2 linked regions of the Drosophila melanogaster genome follow. The protein of the gene in region 2 interacts with the protein of the main gene of each other region in a pairwise test. Each region holds a gene or a part of one and is shown on either strand. Other genes may lie near its edges. The genes, in order: Osi15 and Tsp42El.

What was found.
Region 1: the proteins of Tsp42El (region 2) and Osi15 interact in a two-hybrid assay, tested with the Drosophila melanogaster proteins (one large-scale study listed by BioGRID).

What each region holds. Positions count from the first base shown.
Region 1 is NT_033777.3:6,299,870-6,304,422, reverse strand, and holds Osi15 (osiris 15), read right to left. Parts: upstream 2,620-4,553; 5' UTR 2,511-2,619; coding exon 2,192-2,510; intron 1,632-2,191; coding exon 1,479-1,631; intron 1,421-1,478; coding exon 1,248-1,420; 3' UTR 770-1,247; downstream 1-769. Other genes in the region: CG46396 (uncharacterized protein), read right to left, coding at 70-381; Osi14 (osiris 14), read right to left, coding at 3,846-4,204, 4,259-4,464.
Region 2 is NT_033778.4:7,043,711-7,049,038, forward strand, and holds Tsp42El (tetraspanin 42El), read left to right. Parts: upstream 1-2,058; 5' UTR 2,059-2,243; coding exon 2,244-2,303; intron 2,304-3,566; coding exon 3,567-3,725; intron 3,726-3,790; coding exon 3,791-3,946; intron 3,947-4,262; coding exon 4,263-4,469; intron 4,470-4,533; coding exon 4,534-4,605; 3' UTR 4,606-4,828; downstream 4,829-5,328. Other genes in the region: Tsp42Ek (tetraspanin 42Ek), read left to right, coding at 8-166, 236-397, 499-693, 750-821.

The sequences.
Region 1 (4,553 bases), on a different chromosome or scaffold from region 2:
AAATAAATATTTATGTGAAGTATGTGACAATCTTTTGTGTGTTGATCCTTTTAATTTTTCTTATGAAGCTTATCCTGATGTACTCTGTGTCGTTGTGGTTGTAGTTGTGGTCCACTTGTTCCTGAATTTTTCTCCAAATCTTTCGAACAATTTGGTTCCATTGTTATTGAAAGGCGGGAATCGGAGCTGTCCAACATTTTCCACTTCCTCAACCACAGGGGCAGCTTCGATTGGCTGCTCGGTGTTCACAGCATCATCTTCAGTTATGAGGGGTTTTCCATCATCCTCGACAGGAAGTGCCCAGGCCAAGGATACCAAAAGGCCAACAATCAAGGCGAATTTAATCTGACAGCCAATGAGTTTGTTGCTTAAGCCGTTCATATTGATTCTGTTGACTTTTGGTCAGCATGAGTGGTGTTTTTATACCAACGCCAAGTGGGACATTTGATTAAACATCAATTAGGAAGTTGACGCAAAGAAAGCCACGGGCCCAAACTCAACTTTGCTAATATAATTAAGTGGAAATGTGTCTTCAATGGATTTGTTTTTGCAAGAGGTTCAAGGAAAGTGTTTAAGTAAAAGCCACTAATTTCACTTTCCAGCTTGATGCTCACACTCTTCCTAGTGATTTTTCAGAAAATACCTTTGAGACTCAATAAGGAAGCTTTGAGCCGGAAATTATACAAGTCATTGCCTTTTTAAAAGTATAATACCTGTACATTTCCAAAGTTTCCGACTCGGGCAAAAAGTTTAAAGATTCTATGGTTTTGCATTTGATGAATCATTTTTATTCAATTGCTTTAAGTTGTACGAATAAATACTTAGTAAGTAAGCTCTTTAGCAGGCATAATCTTCGTTGCTTTCGATGAACCTGAGTGACATGTACGACCGCCAAGAGACATGTGGATGGGGAAATGTGCAATAATTATGGCGCAATCATTGATTGGCCGTAGTATCCTTAAGCATTGTCCTTTGGGCTAGCCAAGAGTCGAGGGACCGTTTCAATAGTTCTCTTTTTTTGTGATTTTTTTTGGTATGTCGCAGCTAACTAACTAAATGTAACTAAATAATTATTGACTACGAATTAGGCCATTCTTCAGGAAAGTCTTAGAGGGATAGGTTGTGGAAATGGTGATGAAGTGGGGGGAAGTTGAAGAAGGGAGACGCTTTGGTAGGATAAGATATAGCAGGTGAAAGATAGAGGCTAGTACAGAGTGGGATGGATGGATCGGTGGGTGTTTTCCGGCTTAGAAGGGCTGGGCCAGACCATAGTGGTTGTAGGCCAGATCGGCGGCACCTGCCTGACCATTGCGGCTCCAGTCGGAGTGCACGATGTCGGCGTTCAGCGGGCTGCCGGTGATGTAGGCAGTGGTGATGTGTTCCTTCTTCTTGGCCAACAGATCCTTGAAGAAGGTGGCACCTGTGCGGGAAACGTGGGTAAAAAGTGCTATTCCTGAGATCATTAAAAGTAAACTCACCAGCCAGGATGAGGGCCAGGAAGGAGATGGCCAGAGCCTTCAGCGAGATGAACTTGATGATGGTGAACATAATCTTGACAACGACGGCCTTCTTCAGCTTCAGGGCCAAAAGAAGGGGCAGCAGCATCTTCTTCATGCGCTTGCTGCGGGACTCTGTTTATTCCGGGAGGGAGAAAGTAAAGAGAAATCGGGGTTTTAGCCATGCTCCTAAAAGTATTCAAGGCCTGGCAGTCGAGGTAAAGCTTTCACTTCGCTTCCCGTCAGCACAACTGAGTATGCTAGTAGTTTTGCTTTTGGCAGTTGGCTTTCTGCACAGCAGAGTGGACCTTAGTACGTTTAGCCTTAGTAAGTAGACTTTGAAGTGTTCGTTTACCGTACAGAACAGGAACGACTTGAGAGCCAGGACGGTTTACCAAAGCTATTCTCGTATGCGCACGAATGCCTCTGTTTTTGTAGTAATTAATAAAAATGTAACTTATAACTCGTTTAAAATTATTTCAAAATTCTTTGGCTATCAACTCACGTATTTACTACCATTCTATCGATTTATGTCTCTCAAAAACATACAAATTTTTAAATTCTGACCTAATATTAAGTATCTAAGATATTCAACGCAATATGAAAACTTTAAAAGCAAGTAGCTTAAATAGCTTTTTTTTCTTTGGATTAAACTATATTCTGTTTTTCAAATAAAGGAAACCAAGATCACTCACCATCCATGGCGCGTCCGGTGTACTCGTTCTCGGAGTTCTCGTCCTGCTCATCGCCGGAGAAGGAGAGGTTTAGCTCGTGGGTCTCCAGGTAGCGCTCGGCGCGGTCCTCGAAGGACTCGACGGCCTTGGATGCACCGAAGCTACGGCCCGACTCCGACCGGTCGATCCTCAGACCGCCGAACAGCGCGACGGACTCCTCGCTGTCTAAGCGGTTCAGCATGTTGACCAGGTCCCGCTCGGTGTTGTCCTGGGAGGGAAGGGCCATGGAACCGCACACAAGGCTGGCCAGCAGCACTACACATACGAATTTCGCGCACATTTTTATTAGCACTTGGGGGTGTCTTGACTTTGGGTAGGTTATAATCCGTGGGACGGCTGCCTGGAGCTGGTGAGTGCTGCCGATGTGAACGGGAATCGCTTTGTGATTAATTGAATGCACTGCCCCCGCGTTTTATACCATTTCGATTTGACGTCGATTGACCAATTTTGTGGCTAGAAATCGCGTGGCAGGCCAAAAATCCAAAACGCACCGCTCGCCGCTGCAATAACAATAACAATACCGAACGGCAATACCAAAAATCCAAAAGCAATTTATGCAAAGCATATGCGTATGCTACCTGGCCGGCAGTTTCTTGACCATATTTCCACGCACGTCGCGATGTCAACGAAAGGGAAGTGGCCAGTGGTCGGCCGGCTGAATATTATTTTTTTGTATATACCATACATATATTTTATATAAGCAAGTGGCCCGATTTCGGGTGCTCGACCGTTATCCGTATCCTAATTGGCATTCAATGGAGTCGCCGGTGCTACGTGTTGGGATTGCCTGCGCCAGATTCTTGGCCGGTTGTTCCTCTCCATTAGCTCCATCAGGGCTCACGATGGAGCGGAGAATATAGTGGTGGATCTGCGAGACCCACACGTATTTGGTATGCCCCGCCGGTGGTGACTTAATGCACAATTTGGCCCAGTTAGTTACTCTGGCGCTTTCAACGCTTTCGATTTCATTCTCCCTTTGTCAACTGTCGTTCGTGGCTTGTTTTCTATTTCAATTGCTTCTAAATCTGCCTGTGAAAGAAAGCTGAATTGTAGCACATCGCCGCATATATCTCTTTTCAATCGCAAAGTGACACTTTTATGAGCATAAGTAGAAAGTTTCTGGCAAACAATTAACATGCCGAACGGCCGTCACATGGCCACTAGAAACTCCAATTATGAGCAGGCCACCAACTTGCCAAAAACTAAATCCCCAGCTTATCAGCTCTTTTTCTCAACATTTTCTGTGTTCTTTTGGGTTTTTTTTTGTGTTCAGAAACAGAACCTGCCACAAGTTTTAATTGCCAGCCGCAAACTTGTTGCCGCCCAGCGAGCAAAGTTCCACATATTTGTTTTGGGGTCTGTCAGCATTTCAATTAAGCCCTGGGAAACTGGGAAAGTCTCTGGGCACAGGTGAGCACTGTCCACGTGCGTGGATTTGCGGATTATATTTTTTTCGGGTGCAATACTCTTGGTTTTATTCATACATTCGACTTGACTTGCGGGTGATGTGTGCGTGGTGTGTCAATAAATTAGTTAATTACATTTCGAATAAATTACTACAGGCTAAAGGTTTCAAAACGAAGGCACATCTGTTTGAGCTGTCTCCCAGCCGCTTCTACTGCTGCTGCTGGCCGGCGTAGGCCAATTGCTGGGCATCGGACCCATCCTCGCTGATGCTGCGGGCATAGGGATAGGACGAGGAGGCTCCCGAGCTCCAGCCGGCGCTGGCGGGTGCGGACCATGCGTTCGAGTTGTAGGCTCCGGCAAAGGAGTTACCTCCGAACTTGTTGCCGAATCCGCCCAGCAGGCGGGATCCGCCGACCAGAATGGCCAGGAAGAAGGCCAGCTTGGCCACGATCACGGCCTTGAAGGTCAGCAGGGCCAGAAACCCGAGCACCAGGGGAATGACGGCGAACAGCTTGGCGCCAATGGCCAGAGCCACGGGTCCCAGCATCTTCTTGATCTTGCCACGGCCTGTGATTGGATGTTAGGTAACCATGTTTTATCGTATCCCAAGTCAAAACCCACCTTCATCGAGGGCACGAGCCACCTGCTGGGTGGTCTCGGCGGGCAGCTTGAACTCCAGGTTGTGGGTGCTTAGGAAGTCGGCGGCACTAGAGACGGCCAGATCCACTAGACGACCAGTACGCTCATCGGCATTCTGGGGCAGCTCGGCATAGACATCCTGCTCGCTCATCGATTTTCCCGTGCGGGAAACGGGACTGGCGGGATCCCTAAAATGATATTGTAAGTTATAAATACATTTTCACATTTACTTAACTTTTATGACAACTTATATGCCGAATGCCTCTAATGTCTTATT
Region 2 (5,328 bases):
TCTGTAGCTTTCGGGTCTATCCCTGATAGCCATTGCAACGTTGGCCCTCTCGAAAGCCCCTATCGCCTACATTCTGTTTCTATATGGACTCGGTGGCATTATCTTCGTTTCGGCTGTACTGGGATGCTGTGGAATCTGCATGGAGAACGTGTGCATGACCGCAACGGTGAGTGGAAACGCTATGTCATCCGTTTGGTAATTCACTCACTCTATGTTGTGTGTTGTATGTCAACAGTACGGCTTCTTGCTGTTGGCTCAGCTAATAATCAGCTTGCTAGGCATCTTCCGCTTCAAGTTCACTGAGGAATACATAGAGAAGTTCGCCGCCGAGGAGGTTCAGATGAAATGGGACGAGGAGCTGGTGGAACCCGGCGCCATGGACATTTACCAGACAGTGGTTCGTATTCTGGCGAAGATCATTCGCATCATGCACTTTTAATCGAATATATTTAATATGCTGGCATTATCGTTTATCATTTTTATGAATTATCTTAACAGTACGAGTGTTGTGGGCGTGATAGCCCCGACGACTACGTGGCCATCGGTCGTCAAACCTTGCCGCCCAGCTGCTATCCCCAGGAGGACCCCCAGATGCCCCACTATCTAGCTGGTTGCGTCCAAAAGTCCAGTGAGAACTTTGTGGTGCTCTTCAGCTACGCCCACGATACCAACTGGATAGCACTGGGAATAACCGTGAGTGAAATGTGTGAACTACACATGGAGGGACTAATCTTACAGAGTTTTTACAGATTCTAATGATGATTGCCGCCTTTTACTTGGTCGGAAGATTCAGGAAGCAGCGCGTTCGCTACACCTACTAAGGAATACTTTCGTAGAATTCTGAATATATTATTAGGGCGCCAATATTCCTTTACAGTAATCTTGTATAAAGTTTTTGATGCTCCCAGGAGAAATAAAAGCGTATCCCGATGAAACGAATACTTCCGATTATACAAAGGGTTCAATCCGAACTGATTAAAATTGTGATTTTTAAACTAGTAACTTTGTATTTGTAACTATGTATTTGCCTAACAGGGTCAGTTCAGCTGTCTTTCGGTATATAGCTCCTATACTTTTAAGATTCACACAAAGTGAGCAATGCATTTAGGGTTTCTATTTTGATAGTGGAAGTCAGGATCCTGCACTCCGCATCGGAAACTGAGCTCATCCGGTGATGTTGATGGCGTCATTCAGTGCCGAGTGTCTGACGCAATCGAGCTGAATCAATCTTACCGGCATTAATTCGATCGTTGGTAAATTGCTTTGAGAGGCGGTGGTCGATTAGACCCAACTCCGCTCTCGATAAGACACACACCGCGGCTAAACATCTGGCAAACGGAGACATATAGATTTCGCTTCAGTTCTGTCAAGCATAACCAGCTCCACGCTTCGAACTTTCCCGCCTCAGTTTCTGTTTGGCTTCCGAATGGCGGGAGCCGCACTAGAGTGCCACCGCCACCTTTAACTTTCTTGATTTGCCTACTGCGAGTGCAGGCGAATTCGGCTAAATGGATTTTAGTCACTCGAAGTATATTAATTGACAAATCAATATAACAAGATAGTGATATATTTTGTAACCTCTCATTTTAATAACATCTATGGTATCAACGAAAATCAATACAATAAGCAATGAACTTTTGCTATCGTCTGGGAGCGGGTTATTGAGGTTCTACTGTATAGTAATGTGTGTGCCCGGCTGCTTTTGTTTGCTTTAACAAACACTGCTAGCTGGCACTGTGGGGCACATCATTTTAACTCAATCACTGTTCAATTGTGAAAATGAATTTAAAAGAATCAATTTCGTAGAGCTTGCTTAGAGAAGATATTTGATTAAAAATTGATTACGTATTTCATATTCGTACAGGAAGTCCATATCATTTGATTCGTGCCGAAACACTCTGCATTGCCTTAAGTATTAGGAGCAGTGTTCGTCACTATAATTTTGGTGCTCCATGAACAGCTGCTATTCTATTCATTGAACCCACGGTGCAGAAGCGGCAGCTTTGGAGCTTCGGACCGCTCGACTCGGATCGGATTCCGAGCGAGAGAGTTTTCGGGGAGCTCAGTTTGCTCGTGACCGTGGCCGCACCAGTGCGCACTCCTAACCGATTCAGTCAGGTTCCGCCGATACGGACTCAAAAACTGAAAATAATCGGCGGCACAGCAAACTGCCGCACTTGTGGCACTGCGATTCGGTTGCATTCTAGCCAAAGGCAAAAGTTTGAAGTGGAAAAACATTCGAAATGGGTTGCGCAACGGGCACCATAAAGTACTCGCTGTTCCTGTTCAATGCCTTATGGGCGGTAAGTAGAGCACCGAATTGGAATTGGCATATGGTGCCTTGGGAGTCTAAGCGATATATCTGCGTATCTGCCGGTTCTTTTCTACAAATAGCCAGCTAATTGCGATGGTTTGAAATTTGTGTGAGGGGAGCCTCGGTGTTTGGGGTCTATGCTGTCCGTTCCACGTCCACCTGGTCGGTGGATGATATCATCTCGGGTGCGTGTTTGGTTTATGACAACGCTTCGCGGCTGGCTGTGTGTGTTAGCCAGTGTCTATTGTTAATGGCTTCTGCTCGGCCTTTTAGTTCCTTAAGCCAAGAGGAGGGCTTGCTAGCCAAGCGGCGAAACGAGGTTGCTGAAGTGCGTCATGCATTCGGATTTCGTTTGAAAGGCTAATTCGAGCGGAATATGGAAACCGGATTATTCACCAGATAATGATGAAAATAGCGATGAGGCCGAGCTCGACGCATTAGTCGGTGCCCATATGCATCAAAACTTTCTGTGGCCTTCTCAAGGCCGCGATGGTCTGATGTAAGCCCAATCCTAATAGATTGTTGACTGATCCTTTTGGAATTCTTCTTCGACCCTAGAGAGTATACAAATTCTTAATCACACTCTCTAGCCAACTCGGTCTGGTCATGTCCGTTTGTCCGTCTGTCTTTCTGTCCGTATGAACTTCCCACTTCAGCGCTTTTAAAAAAATGTTGTCATGATTCCAAAACGCAGTCGCTCAAACAATTTAAGAGACATTTTTTGTTTTCTTAATTACGTCTATTACTCGTAAAAGCGTATACTATATTTGCTTGAACAGGTCGATCTATAGCCATTTCCGTCTGTCCGTATGAACATGGAGATCTCAGGAACAATAAAAACTAGAAGGTTGTGATTCAGCATGCAGCTTCTAGCGACAAAGACGCAGCGTAAGTTTGCTGACCCATGCTGCCACGCCCACTCTAACGCCCACAAAATCGAGCTTGTCCAAGCTTTTGAACAATTTTTAAATTTTCTCATTTTATTCCCCAATATCTATCGATATTCCAGAAAAAATATAAAAATTAGCGTTCGCATTCACACTAGCTGAGTAACGGGTATCTGATAGTCGGGGAACTCGACTTGTTTTAATCTTTGCTTTTATGCATGTGTGTTTTATAAAAACTTTTAGGGCTAGGCGGTCTGAGATTATAAACCCAATTTTGTTTGGCAATTTTTTACATAGATAGATAATATTCATAATTTAGAGGATGCTGGACATATTTATTGACTATTTAATTTTCTGACTTTTAGATACTCGGTATCCTGGTGCTCATCTTTGGCGGCCTTGGCTGGGGAGCAATGCCAGATGCATATGCCATCGGCATCTTAATTCTGGGCGGTACTATCCTGGTAATATCCCTGTTTGGATGCTGTGGAGCCGTTCGCGAATCGCCGCGCATGCTCTGGACGGTACGTAACTGAATATTGCAATTAGGTGAATCATACATGAGCTAATAATTCTAATTGCCTTGCAGTATGCGTCACTGCTGCTGATTTTGCTGCTACTTATAGTGGCGTTTATCATCCTGAATCCCAAAGATGTATTTAAAAAGTACGCGCTTCAAACGGTGGAGAATCAGTGGGAGCTGGAGCAGACGAAGCCTGGCAGTATGGATATTATTCAGAAAACGGTGAGTGCCAATGTAACAAAGCAAAGGCTAGTTTGTTTGTTCAAATGCTTCCAAAATAAAGATTAAAAGAGTGCTTTAATTTGGAATTTTTTTTGTTATATACATAAGTACATAAGCAAAAGGTAGATAGGCGTTAGGGCCGTGCTCTTTTTTAGCTAGTGTTATCTTACATGGTTTGAATTGAATATAACGCTTTAGCTTATGTTTATTTCTAATAATGTAGTATTAGAAATTGCGCAAAGCTGCTGAAGTACATATTTATGTATGCTTAGCCTTCTCCTTTAATTTTGGTGTTTATATATTTCTATCACTTTAGTACTATTGCTGTGGCCGCGACAGTGCCCAAGACTACTTGGATATCAAATTCTGGAACAATACCGTTCCAAGTAGCTGTTGCAAGGACGACAGCTGTGTGAATCCACTGAATCTATATGTGCGCGGCTGCCTCATCAAAGTGGAGGAGGCTTTTGCAGATGAGGCAACCACTCTGGGCTATTTGGAGTGGGGTCTGCTCGGATTCAACGTAAGAGCTCTTTATTTCTATTACGGTGGAGCAAATTTCTAACTCATTTCTTTATTTCTTATAGGCTGTCATTCTATTGCTGGCCATCATCTTGGCCATTCACTACACCAACCGGCGGAGACGATATAACTATTAGTGAATATTTACTGAATAAGAAACCAAACTCCTCAAATCTAAGTGTCATCAGTGTATGGTTTGTTTTTGATACGAAAACCCAGCGTTACTTGCCAAGCAACTGAGTTAATCTTTTTATTAAAGCAATGTTTAACACATTCGAATATTAAAATAATATGTACATAACTACAAGTACCAAACACATGTCGTTTAAAATACCAAATATATTTAGAAAAATTACTTTCAACAATATTTTCGACAATAATTAAGATTTCAAAATAGGTTCGCGATACCGGTGATACAAAATATTTTGAGTTTTTCACCTTGACCGTCCGTTTGTCCGTCCGTATGAACGTTCTCGATAACTATATAAAATGTTTTAAGTTAGTCCACGCAAAAACAAATTATGAGCACATGTGGAACAAAAAGTTGGAAGCAAAAGCGTTAAGGCTTACATATATATGTTTATGTTTCTCTCCAATGATTCGTGTAAAGGGTATATAATAGTCGAAAGCGGTTTCTTTTTTTCCTATCCATGCACTTTCCTTACAGCGGGCACATCCATCGGAATATGAAAATATTCTTTCTTTTAGCAACATAAACTTCGTGTTTAGAGCCACCTCTCTAAACATTTTACTGAAGTTGAGCGATAGTTTTTTTCAGTGATGTTGTGCGTTGGAGAAAACTGACCACTAGAGGGCTCTTCAAACGAATTGCGCAAACAAAAGTCAAGCGAACTGTTATG